Oreochromis niloticus: one gene and its partner. The protein of the gene in region 2 purifies or fractionates together with the protein of the main gene of each other region. This does not show direct contact. Links are inferred from orthologs where the notes say so. Each region holds a gene or a part of one and is shown on either strand. Other genes may lie near its edges.

Region 1 (7,829 bases), on a different chromosome or scaffold from region 2:
GCTGTATGCACCCAGTACCTACTCTTCACACTGTATCGCTTCATGAACTTCATCCTAGAATCAGTCCAGGAGCAAACTTGGGTCATACCAACAAAACCTGAACTCACACACTCTATTCATTCAACAAAATGTAGCGGCTCGTCACTCACTATGTTTGCTGTGGTTTTCAGGGCTTGACATGGTTCTAACTTGCTCCTGGGGATGTCCATGCTTGGGCGTTCGGCCCCTCGACAGCCCTGATGAGGACAGCTTCCCAAGCTTGGGCCCACTTGGGCTCTCCATGCCTGCAATGTACAAACGAGGGGGTACAAACACACAGGAGACATAGCTAAAGGTAATATCGGAAATGCTTCTGCTGCTCATTAATCCGAAACCATTGTTTGTCAAAACATTATTAGCAAAGTCTGCTGCATCAATAGCGTGTGATGATGCTGTCTCCTTGTTCAATAATGCAGCTTCTTTATGTTGGCCATCAGTGCTATTGGCCTGAAGGTTATCTGAGCGGAGGCACACGTGTGGTAATGAGGGTGTGACCTTCCATGTTTTCATTTCAAAATCAATACTCTCACTCGCACACTAACTTCATGCTCTGCCCATTAGACAAAAGGTGAGTCAAAGAGAGGGTGGGGATACAAAGCTACTCTCCTGAGCAGCTGTGCAAGCTTTCTTTACTATGAAAACCAGCGATCTCTCGTTCAGGTCAAGTGAGATACATTACATCCATCAATCCCCATGGCTATATAGTACATGTCAAGTTCAGACTCTCTGTGCTTAAACATCATTCCCCATCAGGAAGGAACAGCCTTCTGAATAGAGGCTGACAATTGCTAATTATGGTGAGTGGTACTGATTACAATCCAACATGGTTTCTCTTAGCACACATTCATGTCACTCTCCTAATGAATTACAACGCACACAAAGGGTCACTCAATGGGGGCCACTCAGTGTCCGTTTACATGCTGTGCAATTCACTGCGTGAATACCACAGAGATAAAACGTTCACAGTAGTTGTAAAGTTTTGATGATTTTGACTATGCACAGTGAACTTGCTGCAGGGTGCAACTTGATGAAATCTTTCACACATTAACACTAGGCATCTTCCTTTTCCGGTATGATGTATCAGAGCATGAAGAGATGCGCTACAGATCAGCTCATAACTACTTAAAATAAACAGATGTGGTGAGAAAGATATGGCTGATTGATGGTGAGTCTTGCTGTGCAACCCTATAATAATTACGTAGGATAACCCCCTTTTAGATTTGCCACAGTGTTTCAACAGCATCCTCCTATTAAATAAATAAATGAATAAATACATTGCAGCTGGGGTTTTCATAAACGATTAATTCTACATGTAAACACAAGCCTGCTACAGAAACTTTATTACCATACACTTAGCTAGACACAACAAAACCCCGTGACACCCACTCACATCTCCTCTCACAATCTGCTGAGAGACCAACCTAGAGATAAGTATTTTAACACCGCACGTGGCACACTGCCACGCTGTGTTTGACAACTACAACAAGGTCTGAGTTGCCTATTTATGTGGTTAACTAAAATAGTGCTCTACTTTCTTCCTCCTCCCCGGCCACACCTACCTTAACTGTCGAGCAGTCACCCAGCACCAGAGCCCGGGTGGCCCCGGGTCATCCACGTGAGGTAGGAGGAGGTCAGGGGCAGGAGACAGGCACCAAAGTAGGCGTTTTTTTTTTTTCCCACCAACGTTATGTTACATGGCAATCACACCTGCTGTGCGTCAAGGAGCGGTCAGGGTGAGCTTGGGGGGCCTGAAAGGAAGCGGACAGTCGTCACCGTCGTCCTGTCCCCCCCAGTCTGCAGACGACGACCAGGTGGACGGTAAAAAAGAGCAGTGCAGGAGATGAGAAATTACAAATTCGTCTGAACATGAAAAGAAATCCAGGATACTTTCACCTTATTTCCAGCTTCCAATTGCCTTGCCCCCCCTCTCCCTCTCCTTTCGTGCATTAATATGTATACCACGAGGCACTTCTCCAACCCCTGTCTTCTCGTTAAACTCTCCAAATTAATAGAAATAGCCAGGAAAGACAGACAGGTCCTCGACTCCTTGAGAAAAAATATTAGAATACGGGATGGTTTATATAGGCAGTGAAGCAAAATGGCGACTTTATTACGAAGGAGGAGTAAAAAAAAAAAAATCCTTGCGCTGGCTGGAGCTAAAGGGAGGCACAAAAATATGTTTAGTGCAGTAATTTCGACGGCTGTGAGTCTGTTGGTTAGAGTAAAAGAAAACGAAGCGAAGGAAAATCTGCAGAAGCGCCAAATCTCGGTCGGGTTTGGTTCACTCCTCGGGTCCTTACCTCGGGATTATTCGTTTTTTTTATACGGATATTATCTCGGCGGCCGTGTACAGTATTACAGTAATGTGTGTTGGGTCATGCGCGTATCCACTCCACCTTTGACAGTTGCAACTACAGTCTTGAGGCAACTTGCAAACTCTCGCGTTATTATTATCAATTTTCGAGCTGAATAATAGTGGGCTTTCTGGCTAATAAACTCGCTGCAATACCGGTTCGTGCTACTCTTCCGACGTAACGGCGCTCGCTCCTGACGACAAAAAAAAAAGGGTCAGGGCTTAAATTCCGTATACAAACCCTTAGCGAATTATTTTAATCTAGCTGCAGCCAAAATGTTCTTCCCATGCGTCCTCCTGCGCAGCCGATAACGGCTTCTTGTCCAGTCTGTGGCAGGCTGTTCTAGCTGTCACACCAGGCCGGTGCTGTAGTCACTGCAAGTAGCTCCCTCCAAAAAAGCCTCTGAAATATCAACTATGCCTATAATTTGGTAAAGCTATACATAAGAGCAAAAGGCTCCACATAAAAAAGTGAATTATTAATTGGCTCAATATTTTGCATTTAAAACCAGACTTTAGTAAAGAATACAAGTCTTTGATGCTGTGTTTTCAATTCAAGGTCAGTATTTAGACATAAGCCATTAGTCCTTTTTTATGTTAATGGAAGCTTAACAGCACACAGGCCTGCAGTCAATAACACTGCTGAGTCTTTAATTGCTGTATAGCTGCAAGCTGGTTACGGGCTATATGAACAGACTGGCATTTCCCCATTTAACACAGAATAATAAATGCTTCACATATGGTGTGAGCCCACATCTTTTTTCTTCTTCTTCTCTCTTTCTAAATTAATCATTCACGGCATCACTGCCACGTCACTCACTTCCAGTAAAACAACAGAGGGTCCCTGCTAGTCTTTGATTGGTGCCAGTCATCATGACCCGATATTTCCTATTAGTGGAAATCATCAGGAACCATGATGTAATTTATGTGGGATCGTTATTGCCAGAGGAGGGCGGTAGATCCTCATTTTTATAGCAGGTTTGACTAATGTGAAAGTATTACTGGTATTTCAATAATGCCTAATAAATATTTCTGAGAAGGGGAGAGATTAGCGATTAAAAAGTTTTTTCTTGATTAAAAATAAAATGACCTCAATGCGCTTGAGCATGAGAAAAGGAACATTAGTACACAATGGGACACTTTTCAAAACAAAATGAATGAAAAAGAATTAAGATAAAAAGCAATAATAAATACAAAGTAAAATTAACCTCATCACAGTCTCCAGCATTTTTGCCAACTCCTTTGCTGTTTCTCAGTATGTCCATATATACATCCTTCTAATCAAGATGGACTCCTGGAGTTAAAACTGAGCATCAGACTAGGGAGGAAATGTGATTTAAGTGACTTTGAATGTGGCATTGTTGCCAGACGGGATTTTATGAGTATTTCAAAAACTCTTACTGGGATTTTCCTACACAACCGTCTCTAGGGTTTACAAAGAATGATCCAAAAAAGAGAAAATATCCAGTGAGCAGCAGTCGCCCATGCAAATATGCTTAGCTGATGCCAGGGGTCAGAGGAGAATGGCTAAAATTATTCAAGGCTTTATATTGTAACACAGAGGTCCTACAATAATAATGAACCTCTGTGAGGAAAAAATAAGACAGTTCTCAAAGCAATGAGGTCCAAGACAGTCCAGCCAGTCCAGTCACTGTCAAGGTGTACCTAATAAGGTGATCAGTGAGTGTATATATGTCCCTATCAGGGCATGTATCCAGGAAGGGTCCCCAGGCTAGATCTGGAGCATGACACATATGCGGAACGTGACACTTATAGCTAAAAGCATACCAACTTGGATGTGACCTGGTTTACTAAAATCCACATCAGATGCTGGGAAACCAAGACAAACCCGTGAGAAGTGGGCTAGTGGAACAAGAAATACAACTACTGATACACATATATATAGATATATATATTTCAGTAGTTGTAGTCACTTTTGTGGTATTTAACACAAAGTGGTTAGGTTTCTATGTGGCTTCATGTTTGTGCATGTGCAATAAAAAGATGACAAGATAAACCCATGTGGGGAGTAGTCGTAGATACTCATTTCACACGATTAGACTATATAACATTAAGTTATTACCACTGAAAAGCTTTCATAGGGTTTCATTATTCTTTTCAGTCAAGGGTCATCTGTATTCTTCCACAAGGGGGCAGTGCAGTCCTGTGGGTTAGAAACAGTTCTTGTTGATTACTGGATAGAAATATTTGGGTTCCTGCAGCATCGTTGTCAGTATTTAATGTGTGACTGGACTTTATGCAGTGGCACGTGTTGGTACAGACATTGTTGGGGTTTCTCTGATCTGTTAGGCCAGAGGGGGCACTCAGCTGACAAACCAAGACACTGTGCAATTGGCAGCTGCCATTCTACAAAGAATATGCAGCTGATCCTGAAATCTGCTTTCCTTAATGGCTGTTAATGAATAGTTCATACAGAGCCTAGTCTGACCCCTGATTAAGACTTCCAACTATGGCAGTGATTTATGTTCCCGCTCCTGCTCTGCTGAGTGAGCAAAAGGCTACTTAATAGTTTATAAAATTGGCCAGGTGGAGTGGTCTGTGCACTTAAAGGCTCTTGAAAAGTTGAACCAGCAGCTTACTGTTATTGACCTTTCCAGGGAAAGTCGGGGGAGCAGACATGCACTATTTCATGCTAATGTGTTTTGTACTAGTTTTCTGTATTAACATCTGGCGGATGCCAGTAAAAATTAAATTCTCTAGCTGTTTAAGTTTATTCCATAGAGGAAATTCACTCAAGCAACCGTTAAAGGGCTTGTCAACAGATATAGCTGATGAGAGAGGACAGAGTGTTTTTCATTCAATTTCAGTGCTGTCATATGACTAAGATCCATCTGATCAAAGTCACTAGCAGATAACGATAAACAATCTGGTAGAAGGGTGTCAGCTTTGGGGTATTTTAGCGAATAATCATAAAAGAGCAGCTTTCTGAAAGGAATTCATTCATCTACAAATGCCATACAGAGAAAGAAAAGACACTTAACAGTAAACAGTATCCAATTAACTGCACCATCCAACCATCTGCGCCAGATTTTTTTTTTTCCTGTCAAGCTTGAGAAAGCTACTGTTCACCGACTCTGTTTATCATACATGTGCCCTGTTATTAACAGGTGAGATGCTTCATGTCTCTCAGTAATTGGATGCCAGTGTGTGTGTGTGCTTGTGAGTGTGCGTGCGTAAATGCGCATGCAAGACACAGACAAAATAATCGTGTGTAGCACTGTTTTGCATTCACAGAGTCAGAGTTGTCACAGATGGACCCACAGTTCAGGAAGCACATGCAACTTCTGCAACAAATATTCAGTAACTGTAATTCAAATTGAGTTTATTTTTCTTAAAAAAAAATTATTTCTGAACATTCTTACACACTTGAAATTATAAACACACTCCGTTTAAGGTAATAACGCCAAAGTATAATGTCTAGAAGCACTTTTTGATTCTGAGGGGAAAACTGCTAAGGTGAGTGAGTTTTGTGACCTTTTAAAACCAAGCGTTTGTGTTTGTGACTAGTATAAAACCATTATACCTATTACAGAAGAGAGCGCTACGAATTATGCATAATGTTAAATATAGAGAACACACAAATAGTTTGTTAAAACTAGAAGATATAGTGAAATTACAGACATCATTAATTATGTTTAGGGCAAAAAATAAAACATTGCCTCTTAAGTTACAAAGATTATTTGTATTGTGTTCATAAAATGGGGATAGTTGAAAGAAGTTTTATTTTAAGCATCAGTTTGCTCAGACCACACAAAGGCAAATGAGTCCAACAGTTATAGGTATAAGAATGTGGAATTGTCTCCATGATCATCTTAAGAGTTGTACAAATGTTTATCAATTTAAAAGGTGCTATAAGAATAAAATGTTAAACCAATATGAAGAAGATTCAAATAACAGGAGTTAATTGTAGAAAGAATTATCCTTTTTAATTTGCTATTTAGTGGTATTGCTCATTGTTGATTATATTGTTTTGTTTTGTTGTGTGTAGAATAGTGTCAGAGTGTATTTTGGTTGTCAGTGCCTACTTGCACTGTTATAGATAGGTGTTAATAAGAATTTATTCTTCTTCCTGCTTCTTTTCATGCATGGATACAGTGTTATTTTAATTGAAACAAAGGTTTGTGTGTAGGAAATTAATTACTGTTGTACCATGTGTGAAACAAAATAATGAAATGCAATGTTTCTATGCATTTTCATCTTTGCTTATGTGTAATGAATGTAGAAACCCACAAGTTGCATTTCTCTATGTTTAGCAAGAAAATAAAAATGTTATTTCACAGTTTAAGCTACATATTCATTTTTTAGAAGTCTTAAACATTATTTGACCATCATATCAACCTTTTTAAAAGCTTCAAAACTAAAAATGGAACCATGTTGCATTTATTTTTGGATGTGTCTGCTGTGTTTATTCCAAAATACCCAAACCATTTATCATTTCCAAGAGAGACTCGGGTTGATTTGTTGAAACAGAGAGGACAATCTATCATTTGCCTCTGTAGTCAAATTTGATAATGGGAGCACTGCTTGCCAAAAACTGTTCCAATCGATCAGGTGCTGCGTTTAAAGAAGGTTAGAGGAACCAATTGTAGTTTTGAAAATTATTTTAACTTAAAATATCTCTCTATCTTGGAAAAATATTGGACGTTATATTGTAAGATTGACTAAATAAAGGGTTAAATCATAGTTTTTGGCAGTGTATATTAGGCTGAAGTGTGATTATCTTATTCTGGGGCTTGTTTTTTTGTTTCTTTTCCATTCTTTCTTTTATGCCTTCCTTTGTCTTGTCTCCTGTTTTTAGCTTCATTTGTTGTGCCTTTTCCCCCCCATTGTAATTTTACTGTCAAATACATGCATTTCAATGGCTGCCGATTAAAAACTCAACCAACAATTCATATCAGTTAGTTTATTCAAAAAACATGATGACAGCTTTCATCATTTTCCATTCCATCCACTTTTGAATCTGTAAAACAGAGAAACGTTTTCTCTTTTTGCAGGTCATAAATCATCAGTCAATGTAAACCAGTATTTACAGTACATTGTTTCATCTAAAAATAAAAGTGTGTTTTCTTCCCATTTAACAGTCGATATCTCACATTACTCAAAGCGTCCTTGTAAAAGGACAGTTGGAAGATGGTGGGTGCAGATGTTTTGGAAGTTGTGTTTTTTTTTAACGTTTCATTTCACTGATTTAGTCATCTGTCTTGAGCATCACTGTCATCGTCGTTGTCTGCTGTTGCCTAGAAGGACATCAAAGGTGCTGGTTTCGTTCACAGTGGGAATCTCAACCGTATCTTGTTTTCTGACCATTTGACAGTACAGCGTCACATCAGGGACAGAAACAAGACGGAACACAAACAGAGGCTCGTCCTTCTTGTTGTATCTGTGTGTAAGAGGTGACATACAGTATACAGGATCA
Region 2 (7,266 bases):
TTTTGGAAAAATAGACCGCATAGATTAAGTGTTACACACTGGATAAGACGGTTGATGTCGAACTGGAATGTTGGCATGTGAATATAAATATCTGGTTTGCACTTTTCTCTCAAAGTAGAGTTTGGAGGAGGGGCTAATAGTTTCTTTTCTATTCAGTTCCTATGTTTTCCTGCGTTTTTTTATTATTGCTGTGAAATATTTTAAAAGACTTTAAAAAGAATGTAGACTCAAGATTTATGTGAGTGATTCCCGAGAAAGGAAAGATCAAGTTAAGACACGATATGATAAGATCAGACAAACACTGTTCAGCAAACAACCCGGAACAGATGTAACTACTGATGTTAAAAAAAAAAGCATGATTTTGTAGAAGATACGCTCTTGTGCAGCAGCATTTCATCATATTCACTGTATATCGACGCATCTCTATGTGAATGACTACAGAGTGAAAATAGAGCCTCAGCTAGGTGGTGTGCATAGTTTTTTAAATCTGAACTCATAATCCACAGATCTTCCTGGGTGGTTTTGTAGTGGCAGTGAGTGCTGGCCTTGCTGCTGACTGTGCTGATGGTATCTTGAATCCTTAGAAGAGGGATGACTGGCATCACAGTCCTAACTAAAGGTGAGTAGCATATTCTGATTTGTATCCTCTTTATCCTTCAAAACTCCACGAATAGCATGCAAAAGAAGGCTATTTTGTGTTTTTGACCCATCTGCGGCGAAGTGTAGGAGCACCCACATTAAAAAGCTTTTAATATGTGAGGTTAAAGTCATTATCAGTGGTATCCCTAACCCTAGTGCTGTGTTTTGGAGAGAAGCATATCTATCCACCCACCCATCCATCTAGCTTCTTCTGCTTATCAGATTCAGCGTCGTAATTGGAGCCTGTCTCAGCTTCTTGAGAGAACTTTCTTTTTAAACTTAAAATTACACATTTTAATAGTTTAGGTTAAAATGATGATCACAGATGATGACCTAAACCTTTCTTTTACTGTCCGAAGAAGCCTTAACCCTAAACCTAGATGTGTCATGCTTTATCTGGTGGACGTTAAGAGACTTAAACTTTGCTGATTATGTCCTAAACAGTCTTGATATAGTTGGATAGCTCAGGAGTCTTTCATCACCCTCTTCCTCTCCCTCTTATGTCTCTGATTAAACTTTCCCAGAAATCATCATCTGTAAATGTAGAAGTCTACAACTGGAGCCCATTAACTGGCACAATTAAACCCAAAAAAGCACTGTGTCCCACCTTTACTTTTTAACACTTTATTACAACTGTTTCACTGCTCAGGGAATACGCTGAGCCAAAACTCAACTGATCAGCACTTCTTCTGCTGCTAATTCAATCCCACACCAGCGTCTGCTGGATTGGCCCCTGCTGCACGCCTGTTATTTAAGCATTATCTGCTCCCCGGGTCGCCTCAGTTCAGACAGCTCAGCTCTGAATGGAGCTCAGGAGCCGGTGTCTTCCTCTGTGTGTCACACTGCATAAAATCTGGGTTAGCTGGAGCGCAGCACCCAGGGGAGGCTTTTCTCTCTCATCCTCGACATGTCTCCCTGCCAAACGGACACGGGGAGTGTTGGTAGTGGCGGGCGGGCGGGCGGGGAGGGGGAAGGCGGGTAGTCACAGCAGAGTAGTGCAGTATGTCAGGGCCTACGGCACATGAGAGCCCTGGCTGGTTTCATCCTTTTTTTTTTCTTTTGCAAAAGCATAGTGAGAAACATGCACGGTTATGAGTACAGATACCTCATTCACACACTCGCACACATAGATAGTGTGGGTTAGGGTACGTAAGCTACACACATACACACACTCACACACACACACACACACACACAAAGCTTCCACATCACCAGCCTCTCAATCTGGCAACCACAGACACCTCAGTGGCCAGAGGCTTAGTGGGTGGGTGGATGGGGGGACTCCAGTCACACACACACTCTGATACACTTCTCGTGAACAGACACACACAGACATGTCTCCTCTGCCCATGTTGTCTTGCGTTGCACCGTCTCTCTCTTGGCAGATGTGGCCTTTGGATCAGACACTAACAAAATTCCTCTCATTTGTGGGCGCGGGGCGAGCCGAGCCGGAGCAGCTCGAGCACCTGTTGCAGCAGCAGCAGCAGAGAGGAGGAGGAGGAGCGTGCTCAGCAGGCGAGGCGTAACTGAAATGCTTGTTTACATGATACCCGGTTATTGGTGTGGGAGCCACAGCTGACAGACTGACACATAGCGTAGAGACGGAGCGCGGAACTTGGAGACATGGAGGCTTTACGAGATGTCACAGCGGCCGGGCTGCCTGAGCTGTCGGCCGCGTGGTCGGGATGGCTTTCAGCTTCTGACACTTTTATTTAGCGCATATTTCCACATTTTTCCCCTCCTGCGTTCACTTATAGATCTGTTGGGACAACAGGAGGGTTAGAGAAGGTTGTGTCATGGTGGGGTTCAGGGAGATTTAGGCGTGCTTGCACTGCAACATTTAAGTTATCGTCATATAAAACTTCCTTAGGTTACGATGTGAGCAGGACTTTGTTCAACAGTGGATAACACAGCTCTGCATGTAAAAATAGAGTAGTAATACCTGTGTGTACCTACTATTTTAATTACTGTATATAATTTTATAGACATATAACTTTCTTTAATTTTAGCTGAAGTGGATTTTAAACTTTTAAAAACATACTTTTCTTCCTTTTTTAAGAGATAGCAAGGTGCTATTTGAATATCTCTGTGGGTGTCATGTGTGTACATGTGGCTTGTAGTGTAAACCACAATGTGTGGTCAGTAAGACTAGAAAGCTGGTTCACTGAGGTGACAGTGAGCCTGGATTCACACTGCTTGCATTTTTTAAATTGCATGTGCTCGGCATGCAAACTGAATGGAATGTAAAAGACCTTTTGACTTTGGTGTGGTCTGACCCCCGAGGCCTCCTCAGGGAGCTCAAGCTTCAGGTGCTACTGGGTGGGTGGCACTTTAACTGTGGGGTGGTTGAGCAGGTGACTGTACGCCAAAGGCTGCTGCAGGTGCACAGTCTGAGTCTGCCCCCAGGCCATTTCCTCCACTCTTACCCTGCCTTCTCTTTATACTATACTTTCAAAATAAAGGCTGAAAATACAAAAAATAAATGTTACTACATATATTAAACCCTTTCACAGTGTGTCTTTGGTCCTGTCTTTCTCCCCTCACCCTCACGTGGTCACAGCAGATGGCTGCCCCTCCCTGAGTCTGGTTATGCCAGAGGTTTCTTCCTGTTAAAAGGTATTTTTTCCTTCCCACTCTCACCAAGTGCTTACTCATAGGGGGTAGTGTGATTGTTGAGGTTTTCTCTGTATTATTGTAGGCCCTTTACCTCATATAAAGGTAAAGACCCTTTACCTTTATATAAGTCTACTGTTGTTGTGATTTAGCACTTTATAAATAAAATTTCACACTCTTCCCTCTAACTCTGACAAATGTTCAGACACTTTAGGCCCATCTACAGTTTGCTGAAGCGAATTAAACAGTAAAGACCTGAACAGCTTATTGGAACACAGGTGCTGAGATATTAAAGGGACCAAGGGTCTATGACTACTAGATATTGGCTCACTGGGAAACAAGAGATTGCGACAAATGTGTAATTTGTTCATTATTTATTCAATATCGCTTTCAAATGAAATAGGAATCATGTATTTTAAAACATAATGCACCTTTTTAAAATGTATTATGTAAATTCTTTTTTTAAAAACATATATTTTAATCTTTAGTGAAGTCACAGTTTCTCCTGCTTGACCCTGATTTTCTATGTGAGGCTTGAATGCGAAAAAAACAAAAAAAGCAAATGAAAATTCCTTTTGTCAAAACAAAAGTGCCCCCGGGCAGCCACCGAGGGCTGGCCGGGGTCTAGGCATTCCCATGGCCTTACTGCCATCCAGTTGTCACAGCTCGGCGCCAACGAGAGCGCGACTTTACAGCGAGAGCTCGGAAAATCTCTCGTGGCCGTTTTAAACGCCGGTGCGAGAGACGGCGTGCGCACTTGGAGCCGTTTCTCGCGGTGCTTTCTAGAGGTGGAAACGCGGTTCTGCATACCCCGACCTGTTTCCATCCCCACCACAAGTAGTTAATTTTTTAAGCAATACAATCTGATGTAAGTCTGGGCATGGCTGCGGCAGATTTTCCCAACCCCCCTTTCTCACTCACTCTCTCCCTCTCTCTCTCTCCCTCTCTCTCAATCCCTCCCCAGCACTCACACACACGCACACTCTCTCTCACACACACATATACAAGCGCGTGCACAACCCTACTGCTGCTGCTGTTCCAAAATAATTTCTTTCCTTTTTTTTCTTTTTTTTGAAGCACAACGGTGGGGGCTCCGGAGAATATAAGGTGGCCATATTTGATAGATTTGTGTCGGGCTCTGCAATGCAGAAAGCGAGAGTTGTTGCGTGTGATCTGGCAAGTGACAGTGACACCAGGCAAGTCTGTCGGATTCGTGACTGATCCGGACTTGAGGGGGTGGGGTGGGGGGATAGAGAAAGAGAGAGCGAGAGAGAGGGAAAAAAGAGAGGAGGGAAGGGGGGGTCAGAGAGAAAAGAAACAAACAAGTAACAATGTAACTTACATGCAGTCACACACCCCTTTTTTTTTTTGCTCCTTGTAACAATGTGTACGTTTTTGAGGAGGGAGGGGGCGCGCGGAGGGAGAAAGAGAGAAGGAGAGAGATAGAGAAAGGAGGAGGGGGGTGCGTTCTGAAATAATATAGTCAGCCATTTTTTATGTAAGGGGATTTTTTTTTTCTTATTGGGGGGGTTGTTAAAAAATAAATATAAGAGGGCGGCCATCTTTGTTGCTCTGCCTTGGTGTAAAATATTCCAAAACGCCCCCCACTTTTTCCTGAGCCGATTTGAATATTAAATAAATATCATATAATCGGACAAGAACGCGCTTTTTTCTCCCCCTTTCTTCTTCTTCTCCTTCTTCTTTCTCCCCCCCTTTTTTTTTTTTTTTTTTTTGAAATACAAGGACGGATCCAATGACAGGGATATAATGTCCTCTCCTCTCCGGTCCTGTGAGGAAGACGAGGGCATGGTGGTTAATTCCGAGGGAGGAGATTTTGATGAAGAAGACGACGACGGGGACCTGGACGAGAACGCAAGCGACATAAACTCGCCGGCGGCGCCTCGGGAAACTGCAACACCAGCCGCGCCAGGTACAGTAAAAAACGGGAAACTGGCGGACAGGTCGGGAGCGCGCACACGAAATAAGAAATACACACACTCACGCGCGCTTTTTTTTGCTGCTTTTCTTAGAGGCACAAATATAAGATAGAAAAGCGCGTGATGGAAGTGTCCGAAACCCGCAGATCTTCTTTTTTAATCCCCCCCCCCCCCCCCCCGCCTCCTCCAACACATCCCATCCAGGTCCACATCGGTACAGTAGAAAGCTGCGAGATCTCGAGTGCGCGCAGACAACAACAACAACAAAAAAGAAAGAAAGAAAGCCTCCTTTGACACTTTTTCCTTCCTCTTAAAAAAAGCCAGCCGCACTCAGGCTGCTGTCCTGTTATGGCAGCTATACGTTGCTGTAGGTGCCATATTTGCAGCTGCGAGAGCGCGCTGTGCAAGCACAAGTCCAGTTTGCAACAAAAACGCCACAAACTCACACACACAACCTACTGTATATGTGTTTCTGCTGTGTTGTTGTGTTTTGCACTTTGTCCTCACTCCACTTCCTCTTTGCGTCTAGCACATCCCGAGCAAAAGTTTAAACTGAACTTGGCACCGCTGTTGGGGCTTTGCCTCCCCCCCTCACTTCGTCGCAATCTCACTTCACAGCCGTGAAAAGTTGTTGAAAAGAAAAAAATAGTCCCTTGCTTTTTTTTTTATTGGTGGGGTTCTTGGACGTGCAGGACTTGCAAATTGTTTTTAAAAAGCAGAGGTCTGCGGGGGTAATGAGGTCGCCCTGAAGGACTGGCACACACGCTAACATGGACTCTCCTCTTGGCCGGAGGCTATGTATATATCTGATAGCCGTCTGGGGAGACGATGCAGTCATAGAGCCGGGCGGAGAGTGTGTGAAATCGCGGCGAGAGGCATAAACTGCCTGGTTGTCGCTGTGACAGGTCAGGACAGGACAGCACTGCCCCGCACGCCGCTCGTTTTCTTGCAAAGGTGCCTATTGTGCGGACCTGCTCGCTCGTTACCCGTATTAAACGTCTATTATCGGGCATGTTTGGTGCCTCGGAGCTGGGTGTTAGTGTGTCTGTGTCTCATTCTGTTTCTTAACCGCCCCCTTTCGCAGCAGCAACATACAAATATTGATCGCGTCAGGCGATTAATGACTAAATGACATTCTGGAAGTTTCTGTGGCAGTGAACTTGCACGGGGGGGGCAGTGAAAGTGAAGGGTGCAGAGAGTGGAGGCTGGTTAACCACACTGCAACAGTGGAGATCAGATGCACGGCTGAAAGCTGCCGTCGTGGGCTGTACTGTGAGCTCTGGTTTGGATGTGACTGAAGCACAGAGTTAAAAGTCAGCTCGGAGCTCCGAGTGTCAGGACGGCAGCCTGCACAAATCATCCCACTGCGCTCTTTTTTTTTTACTTCATTAGCTCGAGGGCTCCGTGGACCTGCTGTCACGCAGTGCCAGACAGATAAATTAGTGTCGAGGCCTCCCGGCGGGAGGACCTTAACCCCATCGCGACCTTGTTTCCAGCAGCGGTCACAGCGGTGGTGGTCGGGGGCCTGAGGGGAGAGAAGTCGTTCCAGTTCACCGCTCCGGCGGCCTCTGAATCACCGAGCCCCGCGTGCGTGCCGCTGCCGCCCCCGGCGTGCGTTCGGCGGCTGCACGCTGCACGCAGACGGGGGAAGTGGGGTTGGCTGGTGGACGGGGTGGGAGTGAGGAGGAGGAGAGTGGTGGTGGTGGTGAGGGGATGGCTGTTGCTGCTGCTGTTGCTGGTGGTGGGGGGAGCGCACACCAACAAAGGCAGGCAGACAATAAAAGCCGACAAATCGCAGCCTGTGAAACGGGACGAGCGGCTGGCGGCGACCGCAGCCCATATTTTGGTCATGCTTCAATGCTTTGCTGCTTTCTCCGTGAAGCCCGGGCTGCTATCTGCCTTCGTCTTCCTGTGTTTCTCTTGTCATTTCCAAGCCAGGTCGGGCTGCAGGTTAAATTGCTTTCTCCCCCCGTGGCGATGTTTCCCACGTACAATCGGGAATAACTGGCCTGACATTTTCAGATCTTTTGCCACATAATGTCCGCTGGTTTCAGTTGCTGCACAGTGGCACAGACCC

What was found. Proteins that work in one complex are often made in the same cells at the same time.
Region 1: the proteins of chd3 (region 2) and znf512b purify together in Homo sapiens (affinity purification with mass spectrometry; 3 studies listed by BioGRID and IntAct, with this or other methods). This does not show direct contact. The link is inferred for Oreochromis niloticus from reciprocal best matches to the Homo sapiens genes CHD3 and ZNF512B.

Annotation. Positions count from the first base shown.
Region 1 is NC_031984.2:15,933,635-15,941,463, forward strand, and holds the start of znf512b (zinc finger protein 512B), read right to left. Parts: upstream 3,023-7,829; 5' UTR 1,933-3,022; exon of another isoform or gene 1,788-1,932; 5' UTR 1,599-1,787; intron 285-1,598; 5' UTR 283-284; coding exon 150-282; intron 1-149. UniProt on the Homo sapiens protein: Involved in transcriptional regulation by repressing gene expression. Associates with the nucleosome remodeling and histone deacetylase (NuRD) complex, which promotes transcriptional repression by histone deacetylation and nucleosome remodeling.
Region 2 is NC_031967.2:19,659,879-19,667,144, reverse strand, and holds the start of chd3 (chromodomain-helicase-DNA-binding protein 3), read left to right. Parts: upstream 1-4,251; 5' UTR 4,252-4,448; intron 4,449-4,566; exon of another isoform or gene 4,567-4,995; 5' UTR 4,996-5,019; coding exon 5,020-5,182; intron 5,183-5,839; exon of another isoform or gene 5,840-5,985; coding exon of another isoform or gene 5,986-6,094; intron 6,095-7,266.